Diceros bicornis minor: one gene and its partner. The protein of the gene in region 2 interacts with the protein of the main gene of each other region in a pairwise test. Links are inferred from orthologs where the notes say so. Each region holds a gene or a part of one and is shown on either strand. Other genes may lie near its edges.

Region 1 (7,667 bases), on a different chromosome or scaffold from region 2:
GACAAGACAGAATTGGCCATGTTAAATATTTTACACCATCAAAAAGAAAACACAGGGGCCGACCCCGCGGCGTAGCGGCTAAGTGTGTGCGCTCCAGTGCTGGTGGCCCAGGTTCGGATCCCGGGCACAGACCAATGCACCGCTTGTCAGGCCATGCTGTGGCAGCACCCCATATCAAGTGGAGGAAGATGAGCACAGATGTTAGCCCAGGGCCAGTCTTCCTCAGGAAAAAAAAAAAGAAGAGGATTGGCATGGATGTTAGCTCAGGGCTGATCTTCCTCATAAAAAATAAAAAATAATAAAAAAAAGAAAACACAGATGAAAGGATAAGTGTGATTAACCAAAGCATAACTCAAACATTCCAGGTTCCTAGTTCTCTTCAAGTGGGAAACTATACTACTACAGGGCTGGCCCTGTGGCTTAGCGGTTAAGTGCGCGTGCTCCGCTACTGGCAGCCCGGGTTCAGATCCCGGGCGCGCACCGACGCACCGCTTCTCTGGCCATGCTGAGGCCGCGTCCCACATACAGCAACTAGAAGGCTGTGCAACTATGACATACAACTATCTACTGGGGCTTTGGGGGGAAAAAATAAATAAATAAATAAATAAAACACTACTACTACATATAAAGTTGAAGATTAGTGACCTGCCACCATCAATTAAAAAGTTTGAATTCTTTAAAAAATTAATATCTAATGTAAGATTTTGAATGAATTACATTAAATACACATACAAAAATAACTTTATTTTCCAAATATGATCATGATGGCGGGGACTCACATTACACATAAGGAAGTGGTTCTTATGCTTATTTATACTCAGATTTATAAATAAAAACTTAGTTCTATAAGCATTATAATATTCCATAATTCCCAAACAGAATAAATATGCGCCATTTCCTTCCAAGTACAAAAAGGAGGCCATCTGCAGTATCTGAACAAGCACTGAATCACATGAATAGATCCTGGAGGTCGCCAAGCCTCTTATGTAAATCTAGGTTTCAAGAGTTTGAAAGGCTCCAGAGTAGATGAAGGACCTCTAAGGTTCCTTCTAACACTGTGATACTATGAGAGCAGAAACTGCTTACCCAGAAACTGCATCAACACTGAGGTTGACACAAAAAGCAGCAGTCAGAGTTACTTATTATAGTCCCTACCCTAAGAAACTGCTGGACAATAAAATTCAATCTGTGACCTATTAATCCTCATCTATGTAAACGACTAAGAGAAAGGTGCTTAACAGGCAAAATCCAATGCAGTCTTAAATACATATTGCTTTGCTTTCCAAACCAATAGTGTTGCTCGAGAATAAAAACATGACCTGGTCAATATTCTCTTTGAAGAGCCATCAGAAACAGCTTCCCCAAATTGTCAGTACTTCTGTTCTTCTAGCTAAAGAAATTATTCTACTTTTACAGGACACAACTTTTTTATGCAACCACAAAAATATTAATACTGAGATACTGTTAACATCATAGAGAGATGTTATAGACAGATCTTATTATGTAAGCATCACATGGGAAAAACTTCTATACTGTGTAGTTATTTATGTAAACATCATGTATGGTGTGCAATACTTCTACTTATCCATATATGAATACATGTTACTTAAATAAACACAAATTAAAAGGCTTTTGCAAACAATATTGAACACAATAAAATATAATAAGCTGATTCTGGATTACCATTCTTTTTTTTTTTCTTGGTGAGGAAGATTGGCTCTGAGCTAACATCTGTGCCCATCTTCCTCTATTTTGTATATGGGATGCTGCCACACATGGCTTGAGTAGCAATGCATAGGTCTGCGCCCAGGATTCAAACCTGCGAACCCCAGGCCACTGAAGTGGAGCCCTCGAACCCAACCACTACACCACTGGCCGGCCCCCTTACCATTCTTTTATTCATTCAGTAAATATTTACTGAGAGCTTACCATATTATCAGGCATTAGGGACAAACTAGGGGGCAAAACCAGATATGATCCCTGCCCTCAGGAATCTCAAAATCAATTGGAGGGCTGGCCCAGTGGCATAGTAGTTAAGTTTGCATGCTCCACTTTCGTGGCCCGGAGCTCATGGGTTCGGATCCAAGGCACGGACCTACACACCACTCCTCAAGCCATGCTGTGGCAGCAACCCACATAAAAAATAGAGGAAGACTGGCACAGATGTTAGCTCAGGGACAATCCTCCTCAAGCAAAAAGAGGAAGACTGGCACAGATGTTAGTTCAGGGCCAATCTTCCTCACCAAAACAATAAATAAATAATCAATTGGAGATACCAATCCAAATCTTGCAAAACTCCTGAGAAACAGCAAACTGCAAATTAAGAAACAAAACTGCAAAAACTAATTAAGAAATTAGCAGTGATTATTCACATTGCCAGAATCTTTTTTCCAAATGATTTGTAGTCAATCGTTCTTGACTCATTTTTCTCACACCCCACATCTGATCCATCAGTAAATCCTCTGCCTTGACACACATCCAACGGGGGACCACTTACAACCTCCATCACTAATGAAGTGGTCTCAGGCACCATCTTCTCTCACCTGGTCTCTCAAAGATGTCTGTGTCATAATTCCCAAAACCTGTGAGTATTTTATTTTACGTAGTAAAAAGGACTTTACAGCTGTGATTAAATTAAGACCCTTGAGATGAAGAGATTACCCTGGATTATCTGGGTGGACCCAATATAATCACAAGTGTCTTTTTAAGAGGGAGACAAGAGTGTCAGAAAGTGAGAGAGAAAGACAGGGATTTGAAGATACTATGCTGGCTCTGAAGATGAAGGAAGGGGTCAGGAGCCAAGGAATGCAGGTGGCCTCTAGAAGCTGGAAAAGGCAAGGAAATGGATTCTCCCCTACTGCCTCTAAAGGAACACAGCACTACCGACAACCTGATTTCGGCCTAGTGAGATTTCTGACCTACAGAACTATAAGACAATAAACCTGTATTGTTTTAAGCCAGTAAATTTGCTGTAACTTGGTACAGTAGCAAAAGGAAACTAACACAACCTCCTCACTAGTCTCTCTGCTTCCATTTTTTCCCTTCTAGCCTCAAAGCTGCAATCCATATGATCTGTTAAAATGTTAAGCCGCACGAAGTCACCCTTCTGCTCAAACTCTTTCCATTGTTTCCAATCTCAGGCAGTTTGAAAACCCAAAGTCCTCATAAGAACCTTCACCTCTCTGACGTCACCTGCTAGTTTCCCCTATGGTTGATTCCAGCCACAATGCCTCCTTGCTGTTCCTCTATCAATCCAGGCATATTCCAGCCTTGGCTCGTTTCCCCCTGGCTGACCCCACTTCTCCAAGGCTCCCATCCTTCATGTCCTTTCTCAAGTGCTACTTCTCAAGGAGACTTACCCTGAACATTCCGTCCAAAATTTCGACCCCCTCCAGCCCAACACTCCCTATCCCTACTCTCCTCTTACTATCTCTCCTTAGCACTTACCGCCGAACATACTATCTATCTTACGCCCGTTTCCAAGAAAGCTAGAATTTCTGCACTGACCACTGCTGCATCCTCAACAGCTGGAACACTGCCTGGCACATATCAGGCACTTCATAAAGATTTGTTGAATGACTCAATCAACCATGTGAGGTCTCTTACAATGGTAAAGCTGCGATTAAAAAAAAAAAAGAGAGAGGAAAATTGGAAACGGGAAAAAACAACCAAAACCACTAATGATTTAGAAGGTAAACATGATTCTCTGAAACCTTGGCCACACTTAAACTTAGAATTCGTTAAGAGAATTAAACCACATGATTGTACCAAAAATGAAAATATTCTGCAGACGCAAAAAAGCTAGTAAACTATTTTTCGACAAGGAACGCAACACAAAATGCCTGCATTTTCTCGGTATTTCTTCCCGAAACATTCGCACCTGCCAACCAGGTCTTGGCAAATAAATATTTTGCTTTTCTAAAGAACTGTGGTTCTGACGTACCAAATCCGTACGCAGAAAAGGCACGGAAATAGAAAGTGGACCAGCCGCCCGCGCTCCCCCTCCCCCCGGACCTCTTTTAAGGGAAAATCCCTCGGAGTTGGGGCCTGCGGGCGGTAAAGCCAAATTGACCCGGGGGGCACGGGACGCGGGCCCCCACCCGCGAAGCCCCCGCACCACGAACGCCTCATCTGGCGGCCCGGGCAGGGTCGCGGGGGACTGTCAGAGCCACCCCGGGGCCCCAGAGTTCTGCGCCAGGCTGTGGGGAAAAGAGGGACCGCGGAGCACCCGGGATCCCCCAGTGAAGCCTCAGGTGATGAGCCCGCATCGGTGAAGCGAACCCTACACTCACGACACAGACCTGTACGCCTCCGCAGACACCGAGGATAGCGGCGAGCCTCGGCCACTGGAGCCCCACCCCCAAATTGCCTCCTCCGGGCGGCGGGGCTGTCCACGACGCTCACTAGCTGAGGCCTCCCCACGGACTCACGCCTTTTGGGTTACCCCTGCCTCTCAAACTCGAACCCTGAGGCGCAGGGGGCGGAACAATAGAGGAGGCTGCGCCCAATCTCGGCCGAACACCGCCCACCAGGCTCTCTGCCGGAACTACATGTCCCATGAGGCTCTGGGCGGCCGCAACTTTCCACCGGAAAGAGGCTCGCTGAAGTGGGGGAGGAGCCCAAAAGGAATTGTGGGAGAAAGGCTCTTTCCTTTCCGTCTGGCGGCAGCCATCAGGTAGGCTGTGTTGGGGAAGTTGGCTACTCCATCCGCCGCTGATCTCCCTTCCCCTCGGCCATCCAGGCTCGGGGGCCCTACGTCCTCGGAGCGTCTCCTGCCTTCTGTGCGACGCGAGTTCGATCAGGATGTGGGGCAGCGCAGACGTGGAGAGGCGGCCCCCGGGGCGGGATGGGGGGGATGTTGTGATGGCGGCGCGAATTCGAGCTGGGCCTGGAGTGTGAAGGAGAGGGAGGCATGGGGCTGAGGGATGGGGCCGGGCCTAGGGCGTCGTAAAGCGAGGCCGGTGGATTAGGTAGAGCGACTGCTTTTTCCTCGAGAGCTGACTTGGCGGCGGCGCCTTCCCCTGTGGTGTCGGCGAGGTCTCTGCAGGCCGGGCCCTGGGGGACGCCGCTTGCCGCAGTCATCCGCCCCCTCAGTGCCCAAGTCGAGCTCCATTCATTCGTTCAGCAGGAATGTGACGAAGGTCTGCCTGCCCGCTGGGGTCGCAGAGGTGGGGTTGGAGCTGGCTCTCCCTTGTGGTTCGTGCAGAGCCATTTTCATTCTCAGTGGTTGGTGGGGAACTAAGATGGACGGACGGACTCTTCTCGTTAGACGTAAAATGGATGATATTTTTTAATATGCAGGTTTATCTCAAAGGTAAGCCGAGATGGGCGCTTACAAGTACATCCAGGAGCTATGGAGGAAGAAGCAGTCGGATGTGATGCGCTTTCTGCTCAGGGTGCGCTGCTGGCAGTACCGCCAGCTGTCTGCTCTCCACAGGGCCCCCCGCCCCACCCGGCCCGATAAAGCGCGCAGACTGGGATACAAGGCCAAGCAAGGTCAGTGGTGTCTGCGTGGATGCCTGGATGAAATTATATTCCGCGGGAAAAGCTGGGAACCGGTGACTAGGAAAACATGCCATCGCCCCGTGTGTTCCTTCACGTAGGGCTTTGGGAGAAACTGTCTTCGGCTGCAACGCATAGAAGTTGTTGGCCCGTGAATTACCGTGCACACAAGTGTCTAAAGTAGCAAGTGTGTCATAGATTACAAACCTGTGTGAGTCTGGACCAAACCACCAGAAGAGTGTAGAGTGGGAATAGAAATTAATCCACAGCTGTGTGATTAACATGAAGCCAGTCAAACTGGTATTAGTTTTATGTCTGTCAGATACATAGTATTGGACTTGTCGCAAATGTAACGGTGTTGGAGCGTAAGTGACAAGTCATTGACTCTTCCACCCTTCCGGCTTTTGTAAGACGGCTGTGAATTTTTTCGTATAGGTTATGTCATATATCGCATTCGTGTGCGCCGTGGTGGCCGCAAACGCCCAGTTCCTAAGGGTGCGACCTACGGCAAGCCCGTCCATCATGGTGTTAACCAGCTCAAGTTTGCCCGAAGCCTTCAGTCTGTTGCCGAGGTGAGTGGTTTTTGAGGAGGAGTATTGGCACCTCCTGGAGATGGTGGAGGAGGATTTCGGCAACTTTTCTGATTGTTTATTTGTAGACAGGTGAGCCCTATTGTGTTTAAAATGGGCTTTGTAGTTTTTACTAATCTTGGTAGAGAGTTGATGTCAGAGACTCTGTCTCTGTTACTGATTTAATCTGTCTTTGCTCACATATACTGCAAAGGGTGCTTTATGATTAGTGTGGACCTGTGGAACCTAAGCTTTTGAAGGGCAGCAAACTTTGTCTTGAAGAGCACATCTCCCCAGGTGTATAGAAGCTGTGCATTTATTTGTATTGCTTTATTTTCTGTGGTCAGTTGTAAGTTTTCCTTCTGGGTTAGTAAATTAAGCTGTGCTCTGTTGTAGAGGTTAGCAAACAAGGGCCCGTTGCCTTCCATGAGCTAAAAATGTTTTTGTGTTTAAAAGACGACAAAAAGAGACCATTGTGGCCTGCAAAGCCTAAAATAATATGCTAAATATTAAAGTTTTCTGTAAAAGTGTGGTGACTTCTTTATTGTATTAGGAAAAGGTTCCAGAATCCTAAATTTTAACATTTATGCCTTGGGGGGGGTAATAAGAGGAAATGATCTCAGATCAATCCAAGGATATTTAAATACGTTGTTTTACTTAACTAAGTCTGCCTTATCATACTTATGGTCTCAGCCTCTGGGGAGATGCTTAGTAAATATTTGAGCAGCTTAGTGAAAGGCCTCGGTCTCACCTGATGGTGAACTAAAGAGAATTATTGCATCCTAAATTGATACTATGGGAAATGTGGGAGGCTGACTTTGGGCCTTTTTTCCTATTCTAGGAGCGAGCTGGACGCCACTGTGGGGCTCTGAGAGTCCTGAATTCTTACTGGGTTGGAGAAGATTCCACGTACAAATTCTTTGAGGTTATCCTCATTGATCCATTCCATAAAGCTATCAGAAGAAATCCTGACACCCAGTGGATCACCAAACCAGTCCACAAGCACAGGGAAATGAGAGGGCTGACGTCTGCAGGCCGTAAGAGCCGTGGCCTTGGAAAGGGCCACAAGTTCCACCACACTATTGGTGGGTCTCGCCGTGCAGCTTGGAGAAGGCGCAATACTCTCCAGCTTCACCGTTACCGCTAATATAAGTAATGTTTGTAAAATTCTTACCTAATAAACAATTTAGGACAGTCACGTCTGCTTAAAAGTGTTCTTTAATTTGTCTTGTTAAAACTAGTTGTCTGCAGTTTGTTTCATGAATGCATTGTCAAATTATGAAAGTTAAAGTGCAATAATGTTTGAAGACTATAAGTGATGGTGTATCTTATTTCTAATAAGATAAATGCCTTTGTCTTTGCTTTATCTTATTAGGGAGTTTATATGTCAGTGCTTAAAATGCTGTTTGGTATAATAGGTGTAAAATAAATTCTGTAAAAGTGCAGAAACTAGCCATGTAGATTTGTTGGTGCATGTGATGAAACCTACAGCTTTATTGGGGTGATGCATTTCTCTGCTGGATTACTCTCAACTGGCTGTTTTTGGAGTTTGGCAAGGACAAAGTTTTTAAATGGATTTTGCTTGGAAATGTAAAG
Region 2 (8,002 bases):
ATTTAATGCTTGTGAGTTTGATGGTATAGAATATATAACGTAATTTATAGCATTGCATTATAGAACTGTCTCGCTTTAGTGTGCCTGTCCCTCTTATAATTGGATATGTAAAGGAGGAAATTTTCAACTATAAAAATTTGAAATGTGTACTTTAATCAATAAAAATAACATAAAAGGTGAATGCAAATAAAAATGTAGGAATTGAATGTAACTATTCCCCATGTGCATCATTATGAGGTAACATTGTTGAATAATTCTGGGTTTAAAACAGGTGGACAAAAGGAAGTTCAGATAGAAGCTTTTAAAATTTGAGAGGTAGTCAATATCTTCATAATTTTAACACTCCCCCCCCCACACAAAAAGATAATTAGAATTTCATAAAATGTATGTGGAAATCAATGGGAATCATGGAAGGTTGCATATATTTTGAATTTTTAATTAAATTTATGAATTTAATTTTATCAGTCATAATATACATTTCATGCTAGTTTTCTGAATATTATTTACTATATAGTACCTCAATTGAATTGAAGAAAAACACTAATTTCTGAAAGAAATCACAAATGTAGGAAGAGATAGAAATTAGAAAAACAAAGTATGTTGGATGTTTTACACTTTTCAGAAGTAATGTGTAAGTATGCATTTTTTTCTAGTATATGTAGAAATGTAACAAATTTTATTGCGAAAGCAGTAGTTAGTGTTATGTAAAAATAGTTATTTATTATAAAAATCAGTAAAAGTATATAGAATTACTAAATAACAAGAGTTAGCCATAGCAAAATTGTTTTTTAAATTGTACAATGCATAATTCCTGGAGAAAGGCAATTCCTTAGTTTTTAAAAATGGAGTGCATCATAAATCACATAAATTACCTTTGAGTATTTAGCATATTTTAATATATTTTCAAAATTCTTTATTTCAGAAGAACCAACTGAAGGACATAACTATTATTCTTGGAGAAATAGCAGAAATAATATTTTTATCCTCAACAAAACTTTCAGAGACAAATTCCAGTCTCAATTTAATTTTCCATACTTAAATTCATATATCATAACTATATGTTACTAAGGCAAATATATCTAGCAGGTAAAATGCAAAGTAAAGTTTTATGATATCTGTAGCTAAAGATAATATTTAATTTTAAATATTTTATTCCCATCATGCCTCATGTCACAAGTGTATAGAAGAATGACAACTCTTAAAAGAATCATCATGACTCTTAAAATAAATTTAAAAATAAATGTTTCAGATTGCTTAATTTAAATTCTAGTCCCGTTAAAATAAAAGTCTTAATTAAAAAAAATCGCTGCCTTTACTATTGAATATCATTTCATTAAGCAGAAGGAATGATATACATATTTATCAAATTTAAAGAGCCAAGCACATGTTTAAAATAATTTTGATTATGTTTCCTACAAAAGATGAGCAGCTTACGTTTTTTGTATATTGAACCTCTTGTTATAATGTGCTGCTTGATATCAAAACCTTGCAAGAAATATTTGTATTAATAGAACATTTTTCAGGAAAATTCAAGTATATTGTAAATATAGAATAAATACTATATAATATATAGTTTAAAATGAATGCTATAGAAACTCTATAATAAATTTTGTAATTTTTGCCATTCTTCCTGATATAATTAGCCATTAGAGGTAAGAAAGCATCTTTCAACATCAGATTTTATAGATGTGGACACTGAAGTAGCTATCATAGGAAACGCTAGAAATTTTTCCTATTACATTTTGAAAAAATTCTCTATGGCCTAGAAAATAAAAACCCATATTTTATCTTAATCCAAATATTCTAAGAAATGAAAATTTTGAAAAAAACTTTATGGAGTAATTAATATATATTTGGAAATTCACAAAAAATAAAAGTCATATTTAATTCTGGAATGCATCAAGACCTCCTTTTTACTCCTTTCTTCTTTGAATCACACTTTTTTCTCTTCCAAATAACGTTTTCCTTATATTATGCTTTCTGTTAGAAATCTGGACTTCATCATTTTTACTGATATTATACGTTTTGTGTCTTCAATTAAAAAGACCTTTCCTGCTAGCTTTGTTTTAATTACATGCCTTTCAAAGAGACTCCTTCCCTTTCTAACCTTTTCTAATTTTTCTTTCTCAGACTTCTAGCCCCACCATTCCAGAGGCTGGCTGACTGAGGCAGGTTGTAGAGAAATTTCTGGACATGTTGTTAACATCTGACACAGTGAGTGAGAAAAAAGCCAGCACAGTCATCGGGCAGGTTCAAGGAGAAGTGGCAGCTCCTGGAGATGAAAAGTTTGTGTTTGCTAGTTGCTAGTTACCTGCAACACACTGGTTAAATTCAAATCCATTCATTTCCCAATTGCTTCGCCCCTTCCAAACCACTGTAATGCAAACCAAAAGGACCTTTATGGATGTTTTTTATTGATGTGTGCAGATCAAGTGTATCTTTAGTTAGCCTTGTCTGACATTTTCCACAATGCTTTTAGTAGACAGCATTATATTCAGTAAATATTTCTAGTTACTGTTTATGGAGGTGGGTGCCTAAATTTCTCTTTGGATAAAGCCTTTAATGCTTCCACCCAGAATCCATGGAGTAGTTAGTTACCCGAGTTTGGGAAGTTTAGTGTGGCTCTTTGTACTTCAACTTTTAATATCAGAGCACATATTGAAACCATAAACACAATGAAAATTCAAAAAATATTCCGACGATATTAGAAGAATATAGTCCCTCTTTTTTTATCCTTAAAGAGTCAAGGGCATGAGGAGTGGCAGAAAGAAACATTCTTAAGGTCTAAGCCCTGGACGCCATCCTGCGAGTGGTTAAAACCCTTAGAAACGTGCAACCTGAAGAACACCCCCTTTCGAAGTCTAAAGCAAGATTAGATTCCCAAAACATATCGGCAAAGAAAGTCTTACCGTCAAACGCTTGCAGCAGGTTCCAGCTCAGACCCAGACTGAGAAGCTGAGCAGCTGGTGAACAAAAGTTTTAGCTTTTTTTTTTTTTTTTTAACGAAGTCTGCAAAACTAATTTCCCTCAAAATAGGGCTCAATTTCCGTTAAAGAAAGCAGCACTTACAAATCTCAGAATTCCTGATCACTCCCGCCTCACCCCACCTCTAAGCAATGGAAAACAATTCGGACTTACATATGGATGCAAAGCTTTGTTGCGAAGCCACTATTCTGCAGTACGGCTTAAAAGAAAAGGGAGATAGGCTGAAGCCTGAGGGACTGGGCGAGGGAAAAGGTTCTGCCTTGGGGACACTTCTCACAGATTAATCAATACTTTTTCCTAATTCAAGCCAGATGGCTGGCGCAGTTTGCTGTCCCCATTAATCCCATTAACAACTTCAAAGACCTGGTCCCCATCCTCTGGACACCTGAGACAATGAAAATAGCGGGGCGACGCTGCTGGTGGCACATTTGGGGTCCCCCGGCGGGATAGGTGAGCGTCAATATTCTCCTGATGCGACAGGTCCCAGGCGGGACTCAACTGTTCTGCAGCTCATTACACGAGGCTTTCTTGCCTTGTGTAAACAAACGACTCTGCCCCCAGCAGACAGTGTCGCCCCTCAAGCAAGTGGCAGCATCAAAAGTGGCGGTATCAGCCGTCGCTCGCACTAATTCACTGGTGGCAAGTATTCTAATTCATTTTCTATGATGCAAGATTGTAACCAAGGAGACCTAAAGCACCCAGGTATAGTGAACTTTGGGAGATATTCAAGTGCAATATTTTTCAATAAACGGAGCCATGGCATGGGTTGGGGGGAGGGTGGGAAGGGTTGCGATTAGCTGATTTATTTTCCAGCGGAAGAGAGGGTGGATTTCTGGAGGGAAATGAGGGGACATGGGCTGGCTCTTGAGGGAAAAGACTGGAAAAGTGCGTGCAGTATACACATCTCATGTGACCGGGAAGAAATCGCTTCGGAATATTCCTGTCCCAGAAAAAGTTCTTGGTGGACAAGTGTCTAGGAAATTGAGTGGGACCAGGAAAGCAGAGGGGAGGTAATTTGCGGAAAGCAGAGACGACATTTGCGGAAACCAGGGGAAGAGAGTACACACCTGGCACCGCAGGTGAGGATACCAGGGTCTGGATATCGACAACTGCCACCGCCCCACGTTTTCCTCCGACCTACCCCACCAGGTCCCTCTCCTTTTGGCACCGAGACTGGCCTTTTCTTGCCCGCTGGGAACTTCCCTGCAACCTCGGACCTAGCATCCGAACCTACTAACAACCCACCCACAGATACCAGCTGCAAAAAGCTAGGCTCGTCACTTGGTCCAGGGCACAAGTTCACGCGAAGTTTGAAAAACTTCTCTGAGCGCGCGCCAAACTAGCTCTGATCTTCCTCAACTCTACTGCTCCTTTCGTGCTCTTCAAGAGCTGAGCGCACCCCTAGTTCTCCTGCAGATGACAGTGCCAAAGTGGCATTAGCAAGACACCTTTCCTGAGAGAAGTGAGCGGGCCACACACTGGGCGCGGGGTTGCGACTGGCGGGCATCGCGGCGCGCCTCGGTGCACCGAGTCGAGAGGGGAGAGCCAACGCCCGCCGGGGCTGGGGTTTAGGCGCCAGGCGCGCCGCTTGCAGCCTTGGCGGCTGGCGGGGGCCGGCGGGCGTGGACGCGCTGCGTGCGTCCAGCCGGAGATAGGAAGTGGAACTCGGAGCGCGTGGCGCACACTGAGCGGGAGTTTTGGAGGGAGTTTGCATGTGGTCAGCGCTGGCCTCCTAAGCCAGCCCCCAGCTCACATTACACTCTATTTATAACCTCTCAGAGCCGTTTCCCCCTGAAAGCTGTTCTCTGGGACCACCTTCTTTTGGCTTCAACCTCTCCTACTCTTGACATCTGAGTAGTTCGGAGGGAAGCTCCTCCAGGTCCGAGTGTTTATATGTGAAGGAGGCTGGCCGCTGGGGCTCAGGACAGGGATTATCCGAGCTCTGCAGAAACGCGGGCGGTTATTGCTTTGGGAAGGGAAAAAGTCACACGGTTTTCAGTGAAAAGTGACAGAGGGTAGTGGCGTTTGGACTCGTCGTGAAGTCTTCTGCCTGGAACCCGAGACTTGCATGCTATGGAACACCCGCTCTTTGGCTGCCTGCGCAGCCCTCACGCCACCGCGCAAGGCTTGCACCCGTTCTCCCAATCCTCTCTCGCCCTCCATGGAAGATCTGACCATATGTCCTACCCCGAGCTCTCCACTTCTTCCTCGTCTTGCATAATCGCGGGATACCCCAACGAGGAGGGCATGTTTGCCAGCCAGCATCACAGGGGGCACCACCACCACCACCATCATCACCATCACCACCACCAACAGCAACAGCACCAAGCTCTGCAAACCAACTGGCACCTCCCGCAGATGTCCTCCCCTCCGAGTGCAGCTCGGCACAGCCTCTGCCTCCAGGCGGACTCGGGAGGGCCCCCGGAGCTGGGAAGCAGCCCACCGGTCCTGTGTTCCAACTCTTCCAGCTTGGGCTCCAGCACCCCGACCGGGGCCGCGTGCGCGCCTGGGGACTACGGCCGCCAGGCGCTGTCACCCGCTGAGGCGGAGAAGAGAAGCGGCGGCAAGAGGAAAAGCGATAGCTCAGGTAAGGATGCACCAGGCACCCTCGGCGAAAGGGGGCGGAGAGATGACAGGGAGGATTCTCGCACTATAGTGAGGCGGCAGGGAATATGGTACACGTCTTGTTGCCCTCTCTGACTCCCCGTCGCCAAATTCGGCGGGGCTGCTTTGGTCCTGTTATTTGGGGGCACGTGTTTCTCCGAGGGCGACACTGCAGCCAACAGCGCTAAGCCCTCCAAGGTTCAAACTAGTTTACCAGAGAGTTAAGAAAAAAGAACAAGTGACAGTATGTGAAATCGATTGCGAAGCGTGACCTTTCCTCTGAGCGATGGGGAGGGGAGTGCACCCTGGGATGCAGTGTCCGCTGGGCGTGCGTGCGGGTGCCGCTCCTTGACTTTTCCCTTGCAAGTTCCCGACTCCGAGTGGCTCGATTTTTCCCATCGTTAACTGGATTTCCAAATTATTGCACAATATTTGGAACTTGCAATGGAACTTGGCAGAGAGTATGAGAAAAAATAAGTTGTCGTTTTTTGAAAATATTCTGATTTCAGAGTTCTTTAAATAGCAGCCTATTCCAAATGGTAAAAATTTCCCTTTCTAGGGGAAGAAGACATAATCTAGGAATTCAGAGGATTTAAAGGAACGTATCAGAAAATTGTAAATAAATACACACTCAGACTCTTGAAGAGTGATGATTCTTAATAGTAGTTGTATTCGTGTGGTGCTAATTTAAATTTCTAAAGTGGAAAGTAAAATCCTCCTCCAACTGAGTATTATCGGAGACAAGTATGGGGAAACAAACGACAATCCGGGTAGTGCTAGTTCGCTATGTGCCTGAGGCTGGTGTGCGAGGGTGCACGCAGAAGGCGCTGATCTACGTAGGGATAACTCGAGCAGCCACGCAAAACGGGAAGCTTACTGAACGCGGAGGCTTGAAGGCACAGGCTGCCAACTAAATTGAAGCAATTTAGAGAAACTAAAGTTTTACGGACAATTCCTCAAAGCCGTTACTTATCTGTATCATTATGAAGTTGTTAAGATACTTGACGATCAGAGAATTTGTGAGTTTTCTTCTGTAGCTAATAGCGCAACATACGTCCTATCTTTTTGGAAAGGGTCATTTAATATAATATTTACATATTTTTCTTCCTTTGCGGAATTGGTTTAACAGTCCTAAGAAGGTAATTCCAGGTATTGGTTTGAAAGATTGGAAAATGTTTATCCTTTATAATGCTTTAGGTAAGATCCCACATAAATGACAATGATTGAACTGCATATTTCTCATGTGCCTTTGCAGCAATAGTATCATTTGTTCTTCAGTGTTAGTATGAGATGGATTCTTCTATCACAAACTTAAAATCTAACTTTTACTTTACAAGGTCAGAGGTGAACTTTTAATGCTCCATCACAAATTAGTTTATATCTAAGAAAGTTACCAGCAGTATCACTCATTTTTAATGGTTTTTACTAACCATAAGTGAAACTCTCTTAAGACAAAGTTAAAAGGTTAATCATAACAAGAAGGTTTCCATCTTCACCAGAAAAAAAGGTCATTTTTAGAATGCAGTGATCATTTCATAGACTCAGCATTTGATATCAGTGTAACTTTTTTTGGAAGCAGATCCCAGTTCAAATTGGTCAGCAGCACTTCTGCAATTACTAGAAGCTCTTACTGTTCATTTTACTTCTGCAGTGAGAAACCTATGTGATGGATTGTTCCTATGCTTCCTGAACTGAACCAAACACACCTAAGTTTCTTACGGCAAACTGAATGTTCATATAGGCACATGTTATTTTGGTTGGGGAGAAACAGAGAAAGTGGGATCTAAGAACTGGTGGGTTTAATTTAAATTTAAAGAATTTAAAGTGGGTTCCTTTAAATTATTTTAATAACAACTTTCTTAAAAAATTGGTTATATTAATAGTGCAACCCTGTTTTGGTGGGAAATAACCGTATAACAAAATAACTTTATTTTTACATGTTGAAGCTGATAATTAAAGTACTGAAAAAAACAAACAATCCCCAAAGTTTGCATCAGTTACATAAAGTATTAATAGATTACATCTTGAGTGGGAAATACAATTAGTCATCACCAAAGATAGAATCACTGGGGAGTTAGAATGAATATTTTCTTTGATGGGATATTTTGAAAGAACTTTTGACTATTTAAAAGGAAATTTCACAATAGTTTTTGGTTAAATCTATGTATGCTCATTGAAAATAAAATTTAGTGCCAATTTCACTGTTCAAGTTAATTAATATTTGTTAGCTCTCTAGGTAGATTTTAATTCAAGATATCTTTCTCCTGAGATGATATTGCATTTGGTCTTCCATAATTTACGTTCATAGTTATTTCATTTCATAGTATTATAAAGGTATCTTGATATAGCAGAAACTAAAGCAATGGAGGAAATCACTATAATTCTGATATATTATTAACACATAAGTCTCTCA

The links.
Region 1: the proteins of MEOX2 (region 2) and RPL15 interact in binary tests that used the Homo sapiens proteins (3 or more experiments, as listed by UniProt). The two-hybrid records come from large-scale screens. The link is inferred for Diceros bicornis minor from reciprocal best matches to the Homo sapiens genes MEOX2 and RPL15.

What each region holds. Positions count from the first base shown.
Region 1 is NC_080741.1:29,068,511-29,076,177, forward strand, and holds RPL15 (large ribosomal subunit protein eL15), read left to right. Parts: upstream 1-4,636; 5' UTR 4,637-4,675; intron 4,676-5,301; 5' UTR 5,302-5,324; coding exon 5,325-5,496; intron 5,497-5,937; coding exon 5,938-6,074; intron 6,075-6,912; coding exon 6,913-7,218; 3' UTR 7,219-7,269; downstream 7,270-7,667.
Region 2 is NC_080742.1:42,092,937-42,100,938, reverse strand, and holds the start of MEOX2 (homeobox protein MOX-2), read left to right. Parts: upstream 1-4,996; 5' UTR 4,997-5,058; coding exon 5,059-5,572; intron 5,573-8,002. UniProt on the Homo sapiens protein: Mesodermal transcription factor that plays a key role in somitogenesis and somitogenesis and limb muscle differentiation. Required during limb development for normal appendicular muscle formation and for the normal regulation of myogenic genes.